2 linked regions of the Lonchura striata genome follow. The protein of the gene in region 1 purifies or fractionates together with the protein of each later gene. This does not show direct contact. Links are inferred from orthologs where the notes say so. Each region holds a gene or a part of one and is shown in the gene's direction. Other genes may lie near its edges.

The links.
Region 2: the proteins of U2AF2 (region 1) and SF3B2 purify together in Homo sapiens (affinity purification with mass spectrometry; 3 studies listed by BioGRID and IntAct, counting the BioPlex papers as one, with this or other methods). This does not show direct contact. The link is inferred for Lonchura striata from reciprocal best matches to the Homo sapiens genes U2AF2 and SF3B2.

The regions. Positions count from the first base shown.
Region 1 is NC_134640.1:2,651,185-2,661,374, forward strand, and holds the start of U2AF2 (splicing factor U2AF 65 kDa subunit), read left to right. Parts: upstream 1-4,501; 5' UTR 4,502-4,652; coding exon 4,653-4,701; intron 4,702-7,997; coding exon 7,998-8,133; intron 8,134-10,190. UniProt on the Homo sapiens protein: Plays a role in pre-mRNA splicing and 3'-end processing. By recruiting PRPF19 and the PRP19C/Prp19 complex/NTC/Nineteen complex to the RNA polymerase II C-terminal domain (CTD), and thereby pre-mRNA, may couple transcription to splicing.
Region 2 is NC_134638.1:658,368-668,557, reverse strand, and holds the start of SF3B2 (splicing factor 3B subunit 2), read left to right. Parts: upstream 1-4,983; 5' UTR 4,984-4,992; coding exon 4,993-5,137; intron 5,138-6,043; coding exon 6,044-6,090; intron 6,091-6,732; coding exon 6,733-6,829; intron 6,830-7,351; coding exon 7,352-7,527; intron 7,528-8,871; coding exon 8,872-8,931; intron 8,932-9,037; coding exon 9,038-9,155; intron 9,156-9,258; coding exon 9,259-9,341; intron 9,342-10,190. Other genes in the region: putative RNA-binding protein EIF1AD, read right to left, coding at 1,095-1,203, 2,617-2,725, 4,156-4,242. UniProt on the Homo sapiens protein: Component of the 17S U2 SnRNP complex of the spliceosome, a large ribonucleoprotein complex that removes introns from transcribed pre-mRNAs.

The DNA.
Region 1 (10,190 bases):
TGGATTTGTGGGGTTAAAATTGGATTTTTGGGGTTAAAATTGGGATTTTGGGGGGTTGAAAGGGTTAAAATTGGAGTTTCTGGGGTTAAATTGGGATTTGTGGGGAGTTGAAAGGGTTAAAACTGGATTGGGGGGGTTGAAAGGGTTAAAATTGGGGATTTTGGGGTTAAAATTGGGATTTTTGGGGAGTTGAAAGGGTTAAAATTGGATTTTTGGGGAGTTGAAAAGGTTAAAATGGGAGTTTTGGGGTTAAAATTGGGATTTTTGGGGACTTGAAAGGGTTAAAATTGGATTTTTGGATTTAAAATTGGATTTTTGGGAGTTGAAAGGGTTAAAATTGGGGATTTTGGGGTTAAAATTGGGATTTTGGGGTTAAAATTGGGATTTTGGGGTTAAAATTGGGATTTGTGGGGAGTTGAAAGGGTTAAAATTGGATTTTTGGGGTTAAAATTGGGATTTTTTGGGGAGTTGAAAGGGTTAAAATTGGATTTTTGGAGGGTTTAAAGGAATTTTTGGGGTGAAAATTGGAAGGTTTTGGGTTTAAATGGGATTTTATGGGTGTAAATGGATTCTGGGCCGGTGGAGCCGAGGAGGAGGACTGAGCATTCCCGGAAAAACGGGAATTCCCGGAATTCCGTCAGTCCGGGGGGCGCTGCAAGGGTTAACGTGGGGGTTTTGGGGGTTAAATTGGGATTGTGGGGAGTTGAAAGGGTTAAAATCGGATTTGTGGGGAGTTGAAAGGGTTAAAATGGGAGTTTCTGGGGTTAAAATTGGATTTTTGGGGTTAAAATTGGGATTTGTGGGGAGTTGAAAGGGTTAAAATTGGGGATTTTGGGGTTAAGATTGGATTTTTAGGGAGTTGAAAGGGTTAAAATTGGATTTGTGGGGAGTTGAAAGGGTTAAAATGGGAGTTTTGGGGTTAAAATTGGATTTTTCGGGGGTTGAAAGGGTTAAAATTGGGGATTTTTGGGGAGTTGAAAGGGTTAAAAATGGATTTTTGGAAGTTTTAAAGGGGATTTTGGGGTTAAAATTGGAAGGTTTTGGGTTTAAATGGGATTCTGGGCCGGTGGAGCCGAGGACGAGGAGGAGGACTGAGCCTTCCCGAAAAACGGGAATTCCCGGAATTCCGTCAGTCCGGGGGGTGCTTCGGGGGCGCTGCGAGGGTTAAAGTTGGATTTTGGGGGGGTTGAAAGGGTTAAAATGGGAGTTTCTGGGGTTAAAATTGGATTTTTGGGGTTAAAATTGGGATTTGTGGGGAGTTGAAAGGGTTAAAATTGGGGATTTTTGGGGGGTTGAAAGGGTTAAAATTGGGGATTTTGGGGTTAAAATTGGGATTTTGGGGTTAAAATTGGGATTTTGGGGTGTTAAAAGGGTTAAAATTGGATTTTTGGGAGTTAAATTGGGATTTTTGGGGGGTTGAAAGGGTTAAAATTTATTTTTGGGGGTTTTTGGGATCTGGGGCTGGAATTTTGGGAATTTTGGGATCCGGGGCTGGAATTTTGGGAATTTTGGGATCCGACGTTGGAATTTCAGGATCCGGGGTTGGAATTTCAGGATCCGGGGTTGGAATTTTGGAATTTTGGGATCCGAGGTTGGAATTTTGGGATCTGACGTTGGAATTATGGGATCTGGGGCTGGAATTTTGGGAATTTCCGGATCCGAGGTTGGAATTTCGGGATCCGGGGCTGGAATTTTGGGAATTTCCGGATCCGGGGCGGGAATTTTGGGAATTTCGGGATCCGAGGTTGGAATTTTGGGATCCGAGGTTGGAATTTCGGGATCTGGGGCTGGAATTTTGGGAATTTCGGGATCCGAGGTTGGAATTTCGGGATCCGGGGCTGGAATTTTGGGATCTGGGGCTGGAATTTTGGGAATTTCGGGATCCGGGGCTGGAATTTTGGGAATTTTGGGATCCAGGGCTGGAGTTTTGGGAATTTTGGGATCCGGGGCTGGAATTTTGGGAATTTCGGGATCCGGGGCTGGAATTTTGGGAATTTCGGGATCCGGGGCTGGAATTTTGGGGATTTCGGGATCCGAGGTTGGAATTTCGGGATCCGAGGTTGGAATTTTGGGAATTTCGGGATCCGGGGCTGGAATTTTGGGAATTTCGGGATCCGAGGTTGGAATTTCGGGATCCGGGGCTGGAATTTTGGGAATTTCGGGGCCCCCCGTGATGGCAGCACTGGGCTCTGACCCCTGATGGATCCCTGTGCCCCTCCCCCACGCGGGGGGGTCTGAGGGGGCCCCAAATCCCAAATCCCCCAATTTGGGGCGAAAGTCGGGAACTTTTTGGGGAGAATTTCGGGAATTTTGGGGGAAAACTTCAAGAATTTTTGGGAAGAATTTTGGGGAATTTTTTGGGGGGGAATTTTGGGATTTTTTTGGAGGGGAATTTCTTGGGGGGGAATTCTGGGAATTTTTGGGGGAATTTCAGAAATTTTTGGGGGCATTTTGGGAATTTTTTTTTGGGATTTTGAGAATTTTTGAAGGGAGTTTCGGGAATATTTTGGGGGAATTTCCAAATTTTTGGGGGGGAATTTTGGGAATTTTATTGCGGTACTTCTGGGAATTTTTTGGAGGGAATTTTGGAATTTTTTTGGGGAGAATTTTGGGGAATTTTTTTTGGGAATTTCAGGAATTTTCTGAGGGAATTTTTTGTGGGAATTTCAGGAATTTTCTGGAGGGAATTTTGGGAATTTTTGGGGGAAATTTTGGGAATTTCGGGCTGGAATTAACCCTTTGTTGTCTTGCCTCCAGGTGACGCCGCCGGAAGTTCGGAGTGGGGAAATTCCCGTCAATAAAAATTGAAATTTAAAAATGAAAAATTAAAATATTTTTGGTTTTTTTTTTTCTGAGAGCTGCCCCAGCTGGGCCTGGCACACCTGGGACAAAAAAGACCGAAAAAAGGGAAAAAGGGAAAAAGCAGGAAGAAAATACTATAAAAAGGGGAAAAAGAGGGAAAAAAAGATCGAAAAATGGGGAAAAAAGGGAAAACAGGGGAAGAAAAGGGGGAAAAAAGGGGAGAAAAAGGAAAAAAAGACAGAAAAAAGGGGAAAAATGGGGGGAAAAGGGGAATAAAAGGAAGAAAAGACTGAAAAAAGGGATAAAAGGGGGAAAAAGGGGAAAAAAGGCACAAAAGCGGAAAAAGGGGAAAAAAAGACTAAATAGAGGAAAAAAGGTGGAGGGAAGGAAAAAAAGACAGAAAAAAGGGGAAAAATGGGGGAAAAAGGGGAATAAAAGGAAAAAAAGACTGAAAAAAGGGGGAAAATGGGGAAGAAAAGACTGAAAAAAAGGGGAAAAATGGGGAAAAAGACCGAGAGAAGAGGGGAAAAGAGGGGAAAATGGGGAAAAAAGGGGAAGAAAAGACAGAAAAAAGGGGAAAAAAGGGAAAAAAAAGACCGAAAAAAGAGGGGGAAAGGGAAAAAAGGAATAAAAGGGGGAAAAAGGGGAAAAAAGGCACAAAAGGGGAAAAAGGGAAAAAAAAAAAGCCTAAAAAAGGGAAAAAAGGGGGAGGGAAGGAAAAAAAGACTGAAAAAAGGGGAAAAATGGGGGAAGAAAAGACTGAAAAAAGGGGAAAAATGGGGGAAAAGGGGGAATAAAATGAAAAAAAGACTGAAAAAAGGGGAAAAATGTGGGGAAAAGGGGGAATATAAGGAAAAAAAGACTGAAAAAAGGGGGAAAAGGGGAAGAAAAGACAGAAAAAAGGGGAAAAATGGGGGGAAAGGGGGAATATAAGGAAAAAAAGACTGAAAAAAGGGGGAAAAGGGGGGAAAAAAAGACAGAAAAAAGGGGAAAAAGGGGAAAAAGACCGAGAGAAGAGGGGAAAAGAGGGGAAAATGGGGAAAAAAGGGGAAGAAAAGACAGAAAAAAGGGGAAAAAAAGGAAAAAAGACCGAAAAAAGAGGGGAAAAGGGGAAAAAGGGGAAAAAGAGGAAAAAGGGAAAAAAGGGGAAAAAGGGGAAAAAGGGAAAAAAGGGGGAAAAGGGGAAAAAAGGGAAAAAAGGGGAAAAAAGGGGAAAAAGGGGAAAAAAGGGGAAAAAAGGGAAAAAAGGGGAAAAAGGGAAAAAGGGAAAAAAGGGGAAAAAGGGGAAAAAGGGGAAAAAGGGGAAAAAGGGGAAAAAGGGGAAAAAGGGGAAAAAGGGGAAAAGGGGAAAAAGGGAAAAAGGGAAAAAGGGAAAAAGGGGAAAAAGGGGAAAAAAGGGGGAAAAGGGGAAAAAGGACAAAAGGGGAAAAAGGGGAAAAAAGGGGAAAAAGGGGAAAAAGGGGAAAAAGGGAAAAAAGGGAAAAAGGGGAAAAAGGGGAGCGGGCTTCGGGCCCGAGCGGGGCCGGGAAGCGGCGGGAAAAGCCGAGCGGGGCCGGAAGTTCCCGAGCGGCGCCGGAAATTCCCGAGCGGCGCCGGAAGTTCCGAGCGGGACCGGAAGCGCCGAGCGCTGGCGGGAGTTCCCGAGCGCCGCCGGGAATTGCCGAAGCGGCGGCGGAAGGAGCCGAAGGCGCGGCCGGAAGCGGCCGAGCGCGGCCGGAAGCGGCGGAGCGCGGGCGGAGGCGGCGCGGCCTGAGGGCGGCCGTGAGGAGCGGGGAGGCGCCGGGAGAGCTCCGGGAAAGCTCCGGGGAGGCGCCGGGAAAGCTCCGGGAGGCTCCCGGGGAGCCGCCGCCATGTCCGACTTCGACGAGTTCGAGCGGCAGCTGAACGAGAACAAACAAGGTACCGGCCCCGCCCCCCCCACGGGCCGCGCCTCACGGGGGGGGGGAACGGGGGAGACCCCCCCAAAAATTGGGGGAGACCCCCCCCCACCACCCCAGCCCAAATTTGGGGTTCCCCCCCCCCCGGTTTTGGGGTTCCTCCAGTCCCGGTTTGGGTTCTCCCCCCGAAAATTTGGGTTCGACTTTCGGTGCCCCCCCCTCCCCTTCCCCAAATTGGGCTCGTCCGCCATTGGTTTTGACCCCCCCCCCAATTTTGGGGTTCGCCCTCCCCAAATTTGGGGATCCCCTTCTAAATTTGGGGTCCCCCCCACACGAATTTGGGATCCCCCTCTTAATTTGGGGTCCCCCCACACGAATTTGGGATCCCCCCTCTCCAATTTTGACCCCCCCCCCCAATTTTGGGGTTCGCCCTCCCTAATTTGGAGACCCCCCCCTCTTAATTTGGGGTTCCCCCACCCCAAATTTGGGGATCCCCCCTCTTAATTTGGGGTCCCCCCTCTCCAATTTTGACCCCCACCCCCAATTTTGGGGTTCGCCCTCCCTAATTTGGGGATCCCCCCCTCTTAATTTGGGGTTTCCCCACCCCAATTTTGACCCCACCCCAAAATTTGGGGACCCCGCTCTTAATTTGGGGTTCCCCCACCCCAATTTTGTCCCCCACCTCCAATTTTTGGGGTCCCCCCACCCCAAATTTGGGGACCCCCCTCTTAATTTGGGGTCCCCCCACACGAATTTGGGGTCTCCCCCATTCCAATTTTGACCCCACCCCAAAATTTGGGGTCCCCCCACCCCAAATTTCGGGATCCCCCTCTTAATTTAAGGTCCCTCCTCAAGAATTTGGGATCCCCCCCCATTCCAATTTTGACCTCCACCCCAAAATTTGGGGTCCCCCCACCCCAAATTTGGGGATCCCCCTCTTAATTTGGGGTTCCCCCTCCCCAAATTTGGGGATCCCCTTCTTAATTTGGGGTCCCTCCTCACGAATTTGGGATCCCCCCCATTCCAATTTTGACCCCCACCCCAATTTTTGACCCCCACCCCAAATTTGGGGATCCCCCCTCCTAATTTGAGGTCCCCCCTCCCCAAATTTGGGGACTCCCCTCTTAATTTGGGGTCCCCCCCACGGGAATTTGGGGTCCCCCCCTCCCCAATTTTTGACCCCACCCCAATTTTGGGGAACCCCCCCCCTCGAATTTTGGATCCCCCCAAATTTTGGGTTCATCCTTCGTGACCCCCTCCCCCAAATTTTGGGGTCCCCTCCTCCAATTTTGGATCCCCCCCAAATTTTGGGATAATTTTGGGTTTTTCCCCCACAATTTTGGGATAATTTTGGGGTTTTACCTCCCAATTTTGGGATAATTTTGGATTTTTCCCCTCACAATTTTGGGATAATTTTGGGTTTTTTCCCCCCCCAATTTTGGGAGAATTTGGGGTTTTTTCCACCCAAATTTTGGGATAATTTTGGGTCTTTTCCCCCCCCAATTTTGGGATAATTTTGGATTTTTCCCCTCACAATTTTGGGATAATTTTGGGGTTTCCTCCCCCCCCAATTTTGGGATAATTTTGGGGTTTTTTCCACCCAAATTTTGGGATAATTCTGGGTCTTTTCCCCCCCAATTTTGGGATAATTTTGGGGTTTTACCTCCCAATTTTGGGATAATTTTGGATTTTTCCCCTCACAGTTTTGGGATAATTTTGGGTTTTTCCCCCCCCCAACCAATTTTGGGATAATTTTGGTTTTTTTCCACTTTTTTGGGGTTGATTTTGGGGTATTTTCTCCCCTCGCAGAGCGGGACAAGGAGAACCGGGGGTTTGGATTAGTTTGAGTTTATTTTATGATATGTTGGGTTATTTTGGTTTATTTTAGGTTTATTTTAGGTTTATTTTGGGTTAATTTTGGCCCATTTTGGGTTAATTTGGGGCCATTTTGGGTTAATTTGGGGCCATTTTGGGTTAATTTGGGGCCATTTTGGGTTAATTTTGGCCCATTTTGGGTGTTTTCTCCCCTCGCAGAGCGGGACAAGGAGAACCGGGGGTTTGGGTTAGTTTGGGATATTTTGGTTTATTTTAGGTTTATTTTGGGTTTATTTTGGGATATTTTGGGTATCTTTGGGGCTATTTTGGGTTAATTTGGGGCCATTTTGGGTTAATTTTGGGCCATTTTGGGTGTTTTCTCCCCTCGCAGAGTGGGACAAGGAGAACCGGGGGTTTGGGTTAGTTTGGGATATTTTGGGTTGATTTGGGGTATATTTTGGGTTTATTTTGTGATTTTTGGGCCATTTTGGGTTAATTTTGGCCCATTTTGGGTTAATTTTGGCCCATATTGGGTTAATTTTGGGCCATTTTGGGTGTTTTCTCCCCTCGCAGAGCGGGACAAGGAGAACCGGGGGTTTGGGTTAGTTTGGGTTTATTTTATGATATGTTGGGTTATTTTGGGATATTTTGGGTTATTTTGGGATATTTTGGGTAAATTTTGGGATATTTTGGGATATTTGGGTTGATTTTGGGACTTTTCCTCCCCTTGCAGAGTGGGACAAGGAGAACCGGGGGTTTGGCTTGTTTGTGATATTTTGGTTTATTTTAGGTTTATTTTGGGCTTATTTTGAGCTATTTTGGGTTAATTTTGGGCCATTTTGGGTTAATTTTGAGCTATTTTGGGTTAATTTTGGGCCATTTTGGGTTAATTTTGGGCCATTTTGGGTTAATTTTGGTGCATTTTGGGTGTTTTCTCCCCTTGCAGAGCGGGACAAGGAGAACCGGGGGTTTGGGTTAGTTTGGGATATTTTGGTTTATTTTAGGTTTATTTTGGGATATTTTGGGATATTTCGGGTTAATTTTGGGTTAATTTTGGCCCATTTTGGGTTAATTTTGAGCTATTTTGGGTTAATTTTGGCCGATTTTGGGTGTTTCCTCCCCTCGCAGAGCGGGACAAGGAGAACCGGGGCTTTGGGTTAGTTTGGGATATTTTGGTTTATTTTAGGTTTATTTTGGGTTAATTTTGGGCCATTTTGGGTTAATTTTGGGATATTTTGGGTTAATTTGGGGCCATTTTGGGTTAATTTTGGCCGATTTTGGGTGTTTCCTCCCCTCGCAGAGCGGGACAAGGAGAACCGGGGGTTTGGATTAGTTTGAGTTTAGTTTATGATATGTTGGGTTATTTTGGTTTATTTTGGGTTTATTTTGGGATATTTTGGGTTAATTTTGGCCCATTTTGGGTTAATTTTGGCCCATTTTGGGTTAATTTTGAGCTATTTTGGGTTAATTTTGGCCGATTTTGGGTGTTTCCTCCCCTCGCAGAGCGGGACAAGGAGAACCGGCACCGCAAGCGCTCCCACAGCCGCTCGCGCAGCCGCGACCGCAAACGGCGCAGCCGCTCCCGGGAGCGCCGCAACCGCGACCAGCGCAGCGTGTCCCGCGACCGCCGCCGCCGCCGGTAACTGGGGAAACTGGGAATACTGGGAATACTGGGAATGGGCACTGGGAGCACTGGGAGCACTGGGAATGGGCACTGGGATACTGGGAGCACTGGGAGCGCCGCAACCGCGACCAGCGCAGCGTGTCCCGCGACCGCCGCCGCCGCCGGTAACTGGGAGCACTGGGAATACTGGGAATACTGGGAATGGGCACTGGGGATACTGGGGATACTGGGAATGGGCACTGGGAGCACTGGGAATGGGCATTGGGATACTGGGAGCACTGGGAGCAGCCGCTCCCGAGAGCGCCGCAACCGCGACCAGCGCAGCGTGTCCCGCGACCGCCGCCGCCGCCGGTAACTGGGAGCACTGGGAATACTGGGAGCACTGGGAATGGGCACTGGGGGCACTGGGGATACTGGGAATGGGCACTGGGAGCACTGGGAATGGGCACTGGGATACTGGGAGCACTGGGAGCAGCCGCTCCCGGGATCGCCGCAACCGCGACCAGCGCAGCGTGTCCCGCGACCGCCGCCGCCGCCGGTAACTGGGAGCACTGGGAATACTGGGAATGGGCACTGGGGATACTGGGAGCACTGGGAATGGGCACTGGGAGCACTGGGAATGGGCACTGGGATACTGGGAGCACTGGGAATACTGGGAATGGGCACTGGGATACTGGGAGCACTGGGAGCGCCGCAACCGCGACCAGCGCAGCGTGTCCCGCGACCGCCGCCGCCGCCGGTAACTGGGAGCACTGGGGATACTGGGGATACTGGGAATGGGCACTGGGGGCACTGGGGATACTGGGAATGGGCACTGGGAGCACTGGGAATGGGCACTGGGATACTGGGAGCACTGGGAGCAGCCGCTCCCGGGAGCGCCGCAACCGCGACCAGCGCAGCGTGTCCCGCGACCGCCGCCGCCGCCGGTAACTGGGGAAACTGGGAATACTGGGAATACTGGGAATACTGGGAATGGGCACTGGGGATACTGGGGATACTGGGAATGGGCACTGGGATACTGGGGATACTGGGAATGGGCACTGGGATACTGGGAGCACTGGGAGCGCCGCAACCGCGACCAGCGCAGCGTGTCCCGCGACCGCCGCCGCCGCCGGTAACTGGGGAAACTGGGAATACTGGGAATGGGCACTGGGGATACTGGGAATACTGGGAATGGGCACTGGGGATACTGGGGATACTGGGAGCACTGGGAGCGCCGCAACCGCGACCAGCGCAGCGTGTCCCGCGACCGCCGCCGCCGCCGGTAACTGGGAGCACTGGGAATACTGGGAATGGGCACTGGGATACTGGGGATACTGGGAATGGGCACTGGGAGCACTGGGAATGGGCACTGGGATACTGGGAGCACTGGGAGCGCCGCAACCGCGACCAGCGCAGCGTGTCCCGCGACCGCCGCCGCCGCCGGTAACTGGGGAAACTGGGAATACTGGGAATACTGGGAATACTGGGAATGGGCACTGGGAATACTGGGGATACTGGGAATGGGCACTGGGAGCACTGGGAATGGGCACTGGGATACTGGGAGCACTGGGAGCGCCGCAACCGCGACCAGCGCAGCGTGTCCCGCGACCGCCGCCGCTGCCGGTAACTGGGAGCACTGGGAATACTGGGAATACTGGGAATGGGCACTGGGGGCACTGGGGATACTGGGAATGGGCACTGGGATACTGGGAGCACTGGGAGCAGCCGCTCCCGGGAGCGCCGCAACCGCGACCAGCGCAGCGTGTCCCGCGACCGCCGCCGCCGCCGGTAACTGGGAGCACTGGGAATACTGGGAATGGGCACTGGGGGCACGGGAATACTGGGAATACTGGGAATGGGCACTGGGGATACTGGGGATACTGGGAATGGGCACTGGGAGCACTGGGAATGGGCACTGGGATACTGGGAGCACTGGGAGCGCCGCAACCGCGACCAGCGCAGCGTGTCCCGCGACTGCCGCCGCCGCCGGTAACTGGGAGCACTGGGAATACTGGGAATACTGGGAATGGGCACTGGGGGCACTGGGAATACTGGGAATGGGCACTGGGGATACTGGGGATACTGGGAAT
Region 2 (10,190 bases), on another chromosome or scaffold:
TATTTTAGGGTGGTTTGGGGTATTGTGAGGTGAGTTGAGCTCTTTTGGTTTTGTCGTATTTTGGGGGGATTTGGGGAAATTTGGGGAGTTTGGGTGAATTTGGGGGTTTTTTGGGGGGGTTTCTTTGGGTATTTTGGGGCAGTTTAGGGGTATTTCGGGTTTGGGGGGATATTTTGTGTTTGGGTGGCTATTTTTGGGGCAGTTATGGTGTATTTTTGGGTTTTGGGGGGTATTTTGGGGTATTTTTGGGTTTGGGTGGCTATTTTTGGGTTTTGGGGGGGTTTTTTGGGGGCAGTTTAGGGGTATTTGGGGGGTATTTTTGGGTTTTGGGGTATTTTTGAGTTTGGGTGGCTATTTTTAGGTTTGGGTGGTATCTTAGGATATTTTTGAGTTTTGGGGGGGGGTTTGGGGCAGGTTAGAGGTATTTTGGGGGTATTTTTGAGATTTGGGGGTATTTTGGGTTTGGTTGGCTATTTTTGGGTTTTGGGGGGTATCTTAGGGTATGTTTGGGTTTGGGGGGTATCTTAGGATATTTTTTGATTTTTTTTTGTTGGTTTTTTGGGGCAGTTTAGGGGTATTTTGGGGGTATTATTGGGGTATTTTGGGGGTATTTTAGAGATTTGGGGGTATTTTGGGTTTGGGTGGCTATTTTGGGGCAGTTATGGTGTATTTTTGGGTGTATTTTGGGGTATGTTTGGGTTTGGGTGGCTATTTTTGGGTTTTGGGGGGTATCTTAGGGTATGTTTGAGTTTTGGGGGGGTTTTGGGGGCAGTTTAGGGATATTTTGGGGGTATTATTGGGGTATTTTTGGGTTTGGGTGTATTTTGGGTTTGGGTGGCTATTTCTGGGTTTTGGGGGGTATCTTAGGGTACGTTTGGGTTTGGGGGTTTTTTTTGGGTTTTGGGGGGTATCTCAGGGTACGTTTGGGTTTGGGGGGGTTTTTTGGGTTTTGGGGGGTACCTTAGGGTACGTTTGGGTTTGGGGGGGTTTTTTGGGTTTTGGGGGGTACCTTAGGGTACGTTTGGGTTTTGGGGGGGTTTTTTGGGTTTTGGGGGGGTTTTTTGGGGTAGTTTTGGGGTATTTCGGGGCCGTACCAGAGCCCCTGGCGCTGCAGCGAGCGCACGTGGGCCGGGAGCAGCACCAGGGAAATCTCGGCTTTGACCTTGGAGCCCTCCAGGATGGGATCCACGAGCAGGAAATCGCCTGGGGGGACACGGGGGTCACCCGGGGGTCACCCAGGGGTCACCCGGGGGTCACCCGGGGGTCACCCAGGGGTCACCCGGGGGTCACCCAGGGGTCACGGGGTCACAGGAGTGGCCTGGGGACAGACGCAGGGACAGCGCCCGGGGTGGGGAGGGGCAGCAGGGGACAGTGGGGGAGGGCGGGTGACGGTGACAAAGTGACAAAGAGCCGGCGGCAGCGCCCTGGTGACGGTGGCGCGGTGACAGCCAGAGGGTGACGATGGCGCGGTGACACAGAACAGCCTGGGGACAGTGACAGGGAGGCAGTGCCAGTGCCCCGGTGACAGTGACAAAGTGACAGTGACACGAGACAGCGGCAGGGTGACAATGGCAGGGTGACAATGACAGGGTGACAATGGCAGGGTGACAATGGCACAGTGACAATGACAGGGTGACAGTGATAGGGTGACACAGTGACACTGACAGGGTGACAATAGCACAGTGACTATGACAGGGTGACACAGTGACAGGGAGGCAGTGCCAGTGCCCCGGTGACAGTGACAAAGTGACAGTGACACGAGACAGCGACAGGGTGACGATGGCAGGGTGACAATGGCACAGTGACAATGACAGGGTGACAGTGATAGGGTGACACAGTGATGCTGACAGGGTGACAATGACAGGGTGACAGTGACAGGGTGAAAATGGCAGGGTGACAATGGCAGGGTTACACAGTGATGGTGACGGTGACAGTGATAGGGTGACACAGTGACGCTGACAGGGTGACAATGACAGGGTGACAGTGGCAAGGTGACAATGGCAGGGTGACAATGGCAGGGTTACACAGTGATGCTGACAGGGTGACAGTGATAGGGTGACACAGTGACACTGACAGGGTGACAATAGCACAGTGACAATGGCAGGGTGACACAGTGACACTGACAGGGTGACAATAGCACAGTGACAATGACAGGGTGACACAGTGACAGTGACAGGGAGGCAGTGCCAGTGCCCTGGTGACAGTGACAAAGTGACAGTGACACGAGACAGCGACAGGGTGACAATGGCAGGGTGACACAGTGACGCTGACAGGGTGACGACAACACAGTGACGCTGACAGAGTGACACTGACAGAGTGACAATGACAGGGTGACAGTGACGGGTGACAGTGGCAGGGTGACAGTGATAGGGTGACACAGTGACGCTAACAGGGTGACAATGGCACAGTGACAATGACAGGATGGGAGAAACGGTGACACAGTCACAGTGACAGGGTGACAATGGCAGGGTGACACAGTGACAGGGTGGCGGTGTCACCTCTCTTGATCCAGATGTGCCGCCGGAAGCGCGGTGGCAGTGACAGGGTGACAATAGCACAGTGACAGGGTGGCAGTGACAGGGTGACACAGTGACAGTGACAGGGTGGCGGTGTCACCTCTCTTGATCCAGATGTGCCGCCGGAAGCGCGGTGGCATGCTGGCCAGGAACCGTGTCCCCTCCGCCGTCTCCACCTCGTGCAGGTTGTTCCCCGGTGTCCCCAACACCTGCGGGGACACTCAGTGTCCCCTCCATGTCCCCAGTGTCCCTCAATGTCCCAAATGTCCCCCCAAATCCCCCCGATGTCCCCAATCCCCCCAATGTCCCTGGTGTCCCACCGGTGTCCCCAGTGTCCCAAATATCCCCCCAATGTCCCTGGTGTCCCACCGGTGTCCTAAGTGTCCCCAGTCCCCCCCGATGTCCCTGCGGTGTCCCCAGTGTCCCCCATGTCCCCAGGGTCTCCAACGTCCCCGAAGTGTCCCCAGGGTCCCAAATGTCCCCCCAATCCCCCTGATGTTCCCAATCCCTTAATGTCCCCAGTGTCCCCCATGTCCCCAGTCTCCAACGTCCCCGCAGTGTCCCCCATGTCCCCAGTGTCCCCGCTGTCCCCGCAGTGTCCCCATGTCCCCGGTCTCCCCGGTGTCCCCGCAGTGTCCCCCATGTCCCCAGTGTCCCCGGTGTCCCCCATGTCCCCGGTGTCCCCGCAGTGTCCCCGCTGTCCCCGCTGTCCCCGCAGTGTCCCCATGTCCCCGCAGTGTCCCCATGTCCCCGCAGTGTCCCCAATGTCCCCGCTGTCCCCGCAGTGTCCCCGCTGTCCCCGATGTCCCCGCAGTGTCCCCAATGTCCCCGATGTCCCCGCAGTGTCCCCGCTGTCCCCGATGTCCCCGCAGTGTCCCCAATGTCCCCGCTGTCCCCGCAGTGTCCCCATGTCCCCGGTGTCCCCGCAGTGTCCCCCATGTCCCCCATGTCCCCGCAGTGTCCCCGCAGTGTCCCCCATGTCCCCAGTGTCCCCGCAGTGTCCCCGCAGTGTCCCCGCTGTCCCCATGTCCCCGCTGTCCCCGCAGTGTCCCCGCAGTGTCCCCGCTGTCCCCGCTGTCCCCATGTCCCCGCTGTCCCCATGTCCCCGCTGTCCCCATGTCCCCGCTGTCCCCGCAGTGTCCCCGCTGTCCCCCATGTCCCCGCAGTGTCCCCGCTGTCCCCAGTGTCCCCGCAGTGTCCCCGCTGTCCCCCATGTCCCCGCAGTGTCCCCGCTGTCCCCGCAGTGTCCCCATGTCCCCGCAGTGTCCCCATGTCCCCAATGTCCCCGCTGTCCCCGCAGTGTCCCCATGTCCCCGCTGTCCCCGCAGTGTCCCCGCAGTGTCCCCGCTGTCCCCGCTGTCCCCGCAGTGTCCCCGCTGTCCCCCATGTCCCCGCAGTGTCCCCATGTCCCCGCTGTCCCCAGTGTCCCCATGTCCCCAATGTCCCCGGTGTCCCCATGTCCCCGCTGTCCCCGCAGTGTCCCCGCTGTCCCCATGTCCCCGCTGTCCCCGCTGTCCCCGCTGTCCCCGCTGTCCCCGCAGTGTCCCCGCTGTCCCCGCAGTGTCCCCGCTGTCCCCGCTGTCCCCAGTGTCCCCGCTGTCCCCGCTGTCCCCGGTGTCCCCGCTGTCCCCGCTCTCACCCTGACCACGCTCTGGCCCTCCGCGGGCTGCACGCGCTCCTCCAGCAGCTCCCGCACCACGTGCTTCCGCTTGGTGGCGCGCGACATCGCGGGGCTGGGGGGACACGGGGGGGGCTCAGGGACCCCCGGCGGGGGGGGAGGGGCGGGGGGGGAGCCCCGGGACCCCCCGGGACCCCCCGGGACCCGCCCGGCCCCGCCCCCACCGAGCGGCGCCCGCTCACCTGCGGCAGCACTTCCGGGTAGAGCGGCGGCGGTGACGTCACTTCCGAGAAGGAAGGCGGAAGCTGAGGCGGCCACGCCCCTCTAGAGGCGGGGTCTAATACTGAGCCCGCCCAAAAGGGGGCGGGGCCTAAACGGAACCACGCGGTGATAAATTAATGGCCGCGTTTGGGGCGTGGCCAGGCCAGAGGGCGGGGCTTCATCTGCATAATGAGCGCGGTTATGCAAATGATGGGCTGGATCACCGAGGGGCTCACGCAAACCAGCTGAAATCCTGGCGTGATGCAAATGAGCGCGGGTTGGGGGCGGTGCTATGCAAATAGGTGTGAACGAATGCAGGTGGTGTGGGCGGAGCTATGCAAATGAGGGTCTGGGATGTGGGGCAGGGGCTTGGCGGGGCCATGCTAATGAGCAGGGCTAGCGAATCCTGTGACGTCACTCCAGCACCGCTCATGCCAGCATCGTTTCCGTGACGTCACCCTCGCCGCCGTGACGTCACCCTCCCCGTTACCCCAATACCCGCGCACGCCCCGCCCTTTTCACCCCGTGACGTCATCACGCGCGGCGCCGCGCTCTCTGATTGGCTGCGACGCTCGCGGCGGCGGCGGCGGGGCCAAGATGGCGGCGGAGCGCGCGGAGGCGGCGGCGGCCGGGCCCGGGGAGCCCCTCAGGGACCCCCGAGCCCCCGAGCGCTCCCCCTACGCCGGATGGGCCCACCCCGAGCTCCAGGCCACGCTCGCCGGCATCGGAGCCCCCGCGCAGGGTGCGGGGAGCGGGGGCGAGCCGTGAGGGGAGCGGGAGCCGTGAGGGGAGCGGGACCTGAGGGGAATGGGAGCCGTGAGGGGAACGGGAGGAGCCGTGAGGGGAACGGGAGCCGTGAGGGGATTTGGGGGAAAAGATCTGAATGGGAAACTGAGCGGGTGTCGGAGTCACCTGAGGGGATTTGGGAGAGATGTGAAGGGAAGGAGGAAATTTGGGGGTTAGTTGAGGGGAGATCTGAGGGGTAGCAGGGAAATTTGGGGGTTTCAGGGTTCACCTGAGGGGATTTGGGGGAGGTGTGAGGGGAAGGAGGAAATTTGGGGGTTTTGGGGTCACTTGAGGGGAAGAGAGGAAATTGGGGGGTTTTAGGGTTCACCTGAGGGGATTTGGTGGAGGTGTGAGGGGAAGGAGGAAATTTGGGGGTTACTTGAGGGGAGGTCAGAGGGGTAGGAGGAAAAATTTTTGGGGTCATTTGAGGGAAGATCAGAGGGGTAGGAGGGACATTTTTGGGGTTTTGAGGTTACTTGAGGGGAGGTCTGAGGGGAAATTGGCTGGGTCGGGGTCACCTGAGGGGATTTGGGAGAGGTGTGAGGGGATGGGGAAAATTTGGGGTCACTTGAGGGGACATTTGTGGGGTAGGAGGGAAATTTGGGGGTTTTGGGGTCACTTGAGGGGAGATCTGAGGGGAAGGGGGAAGATTTTGGGGTCACCTGTGGGGATTTGGGGGATTTTTGGGGTTCCCTGGGGGGATTTGAGAGTCCTGAGGGAGGTCAGGAGTCCCTGGGGGAATTTTGGGGGTCCCTGGGGTGGGAAATTCTTGGGGTTCCTTGGGGGGACAGAGGAACGTGGGGGGGGTTGGGGTTTGTGGGGCAGAATTTGGGGATCCCTGAACCCCCCCAATCCCCCCCAGGGACCCGGGAGGAGCTGCTGGAGCGGCTCCAGGCCTACACCCTGCAGGTGAGACCCCCAAAACGGTGGGACCCCAAATTCTCCCCCCTCCTTGTGTCCCTTAAAGGAGGGGGACTCGTTTTTGGGGGGTCTGTTGTGATTTTGAGGGGATTTCATGGGATTATGGAGGGATTTATTGTGATTTTGGGGGGGCTTAATTGGATTTTGGGGGAATTTAATGGAATTTTGAGGGGGCTCATGGCAGTTTTGGAGGATGTAATGTGATTTTTGGGGGGTTTAATGTGGTTTTGAGGGGGTGGGAGGGGATTTTTGGTGGATTTAATGTGATTTTAGGGTTGTTTATTTTGATTTTGGGGTGGTATAATGTGATTTTTTAGGTGTCCTAATGGGACTTTGGGGAGCTTAATAGGATTTGGGGGAGTTTAATGAGATTTTGAGTGGGTTTACTCTGATTTTGGGGGGTTTAATGAGATTTTGGGTGGGTTTACTCTGATTTTGGGGGGTTTAATGAGATTTTGGGTGGGTTTACTCTGATTTTGGGGGGTTTAATGTGCTTTTGGGGGCATTTATTCCATTTTTGGGGGGGTGAGAGAGCTCCTGCTGTCCCTGCCCTCCCAGAAGGGGGGTCCCCATGTCCTCTCGAGTGTGGGGGCTCATGGGAACCCCCCCAAAATTTGTGCTCCCCCCCAGACTGGGATCGTGCTGAGCCGCCCTGCTCTGCGCCCCGAGGAGGGGGACAAGGCCCCGCCCCCCCAGGTGGGATTTTGGGGGATCTGGGGGGGGTTTGGTGGGGGCAGGAACCCCCCAGGGTCTGGTTTGGAGGGAGGGGGGGTTGGGGGCACCCCCAGGACCCCCAGTTTGGGGTGGGGGGGGGGGGGGGCAATCCACGGGTTATTTTGGGGGGGTTTAAGATCCATCAGAGCTCCACATTTTTGGGATGGGGGGGGTCAATGACATTCAATTTTGGGGTGGAGGGGCTCAAAATCTTCCAGACCCCCCAAATTTGAGGTGGGGGGGAGCAATGACACCCAGTTATGGGGTGGAGGGAGGGTTAAAACCCACCCAGACCCCCCAAATTTAGGAGGGGGAGCAATAACACCCAGTTTTGGGGTGGAGGGAGGGTTAAAACCCACCCAAACCCCCCAAATTTGAGGCATTTGTGGTTTTAAATTTCGGGGTGGGGGTGATCAGGGGATTCAGACCCCTCCCACCACTGAATCCCGGGGGATGAAATTTTGGGGTGGGGGTGTCCCAGGTGACCCTGACCCCTCCTCCCCCTCCCCAGCTGCCCCCAGCGCTGCCCCTGCAGCACCCCCTGGTGCCGCCCCCTCCCCCCCCGGGCCTGGGGCTCACTTTCGGTCTGGGGGGGCCCGTGGGGGGGGTCCCGGTGCCGCCCCCGCCCCCCCCGGGGGGCTCTCCGAGGAGGAGCGGCTGACGCTGGCCCAGCAGCAGGCGGCCCTGCTGCTGCAGGAGGAGAGGGCACAGGTTTGGGGGGAATTTTGGGGGGTGGGGGGCACGGGGGTGTGGGGTTTGGGGGGGATTTTGGGGGTTAAAGGGGCCCTGCTGCTGCAGGAGGAGAGGGCACAGGTCTGGGGGGAATTTTGGGGGGTGGGGGGCACGGGGGTGTGGGTTTGGGGGGGTTAAAGGGGGTCTGGGGGGGGTTAAAGGGGCCCTGCTGCTGCAGGAGGAGAGGGCACAGGTCTGGGGGGAATTTTGGGGGGTGGGGGGCACGGGGGTGTGGGTTTGGGGGGGTTAAAGGGGCCCTGCTGCTGCAGAAGGAGAGGGCACAGGTCTGGGGGACACGGGGGTGTGGGATTTCGGGGGGATTTTGGGGGGGTTAAAGGGGCCCTGCTGCTGCAGGAGGAGCGGGCACAGGTTTGGGGGGAATTTTGGGGGGTGGGGGGCATGGGGGTGTGGGGTTTGGGGGGGATTTTGGGGGTTAAAGGGGCCCTGCTGCTGCAGGAGGAGCGGGCACAGGTCTGGGGGGCACGGGGGTGTGGGGTTTTGGGGGGATTTTGGGGGTTTGGGGGGGTTAAAGGGGCCCTGCTGCTGCAGGAGGAACAGGCACAGGTCTGGAGGGAATTTTGGGGGGTGGGGGGCACGGGGGTGTGGGATTTCGGGGGGATTTTGGGGGGGTTAAAGGGGCCCTGCTGCTGCAGGAGGAGAGGGCACAGGTCTGGAGGGAATTTTGGGGGGTGGGGGGCACGGGGGTGTGGGGTTTGGGGGGGATTTTGGGGGTTTGGGGGGGTTAAAGGGGCCCTGCTGCTGCAGGAGGAGCGGGCACAGGTCTGGGGGGCATTTCGGGGGGTGGGGGGCATGGGGATGTGGGGTTTCGGGGGGATTCGGGGGGATTTTGGGGGTTTGGGGGGGTTAAAGGGGCCCTGCTGCTGCAGGAGGAGCGGGCTCAGGTCCGGGGTGGGGGTGTTTTGTGGTGGGGGTCACCTTTTGGGGGGTGGGGGGCACCCTTGGGTAGGGGGGGAATGGAGGGTGTGGAGTTTGGGGGGTATTTTGGGGGGGTTTGGAGGATGACTGTGTCTCTGCTGCTGCAGGAGGGGCAGGGACAGGTCCAGGGAGGGCATTTTGGGGTGAGGGGCACCCTTGGGTGGGTGGGGAGCACGAGGGGACTCGGGGGTGTGGGGTTTGGGGGGAGTTGGGGGGTTTAAAGGCGTTCAGGGGGTGTTGGAGAGGGTGAGGCACCTATAGAGGGGATGAGCTGAGAGGTGGTTTTGGGGTGGGATTTGGCGTTTTTGGGGGTGTTGAAGAGTGGGTGACCCCTTGTGGGCGCACCCTTGGGTGCTGGGGGTTGTCCTGACTGTGCTCCCCCGACAGGGCCAGCACCCATTCGGGGACAAGGCCAAGGAGCAGGAGCTGCTGGAGCAGCAGAAACGGGTGAGGTGGGAGGGGGGGGACACCCCTGGGTTTTGGGGGGCACCTCGGGGTGGGGGGGCCGAGCCCAGGCCCCCCTGACCCCCCGTGCCCCCCCCGTGCCCCCCAGGCCGCGGTGCTGCTGGAGCAGGAGCGGCAGCAGGAGATGGCCAAGCTGACCCCCCCCGCCCCCCGTGCGCCCCCCGAGGGGGCTCCCATGGCTGCCAGGACCCCCCTGGCCCCCCGAGGTGAGGGGGACCCCTGGGTGGGGGGGGGGACACACCTTTGTCCCCTGTGCCCACCCCCTCCTGGGCTGATGTCACCTTTGTGTCCCCCCCTCCCCTCCCTCAGGCAGCCCCATGGGAGCCCCCCTGGCCATGGGAGCCCCCCGGCCCCGCGGGCCCCCCCCGCCCCCCGGCGACGACAGCAGAGAGGTGGGGCTGGGGGCTTGGGGGTCTGTGGGGCTGGGGGATTGGGGGCTTGGGGGGTCTGTGGGGCTGGGGGATTGGGGGCTTGGGGGGTCTGTGGGGCTGGGGGCTTGGGGGCTTGGGGGTCTGTGGGGCTGGGGGATTGGGGGCTTGGGGGTCTGTGGGGCTGGGGGGGGTCAGTGGGGCTGGGGGGGGTCTGTGGGGCTGGGGGGGGTCTCTGGGGGGCTGGGGGCTTGGGGGGGGTCTGTGGGGCTGGGGGCTTGGGGGTCTGTGGGGCTGGGGGATTGGGGGGGTCTGTGTGGCTGGGGGGGCTGTATTGGGGGGGTCTCTGTGGGGCTGGGGGCTTGGCGGGGTCTGTGGGGCTGGGGGGGGTCTCTGTGGGGCTGGGGGCTTGGGGTGTCTGTGGGGCTGGGGGATTGGGGGTCTGTGGGGCTGGGGGCTTGGGGGTCTGTGGGGCTGGGGGGGCTGTATTGGGGGGGTCTGTGGGGCTGGGGGGGCTGTATTGGGGGGATCTCTGTGGGGCTGGGGGATTGGGGGTCTGTGGGGCTGGGGGGTCTCTGTGGGGCTGGGGGCTTGGGGGGTCTGTGGGGCTGGGGGGTCTCTGTGGGGCTGGGGGCTTGGGGGGGTCTGTGGGGCTGGGGGGGGTCTCTGTGGGGCTGGGGGCTTGGGGGGTCTGTGGGGCTGGGGGGGGTCTGTGGGGCTGGGGGGGCTGTATTGTGGGGGGGTCTCCGGGGGGCTGTATTGGGGGGGTCTGTGGGGCTGGGGGCTTGGGGGTCTGTGGGGCTGGGGGGGGTCTCTGTGGGGCTGGGGGTCTGCACGGGGAGTCTCTTGAGTCTGGGGTCTCTGTTGTGGGGA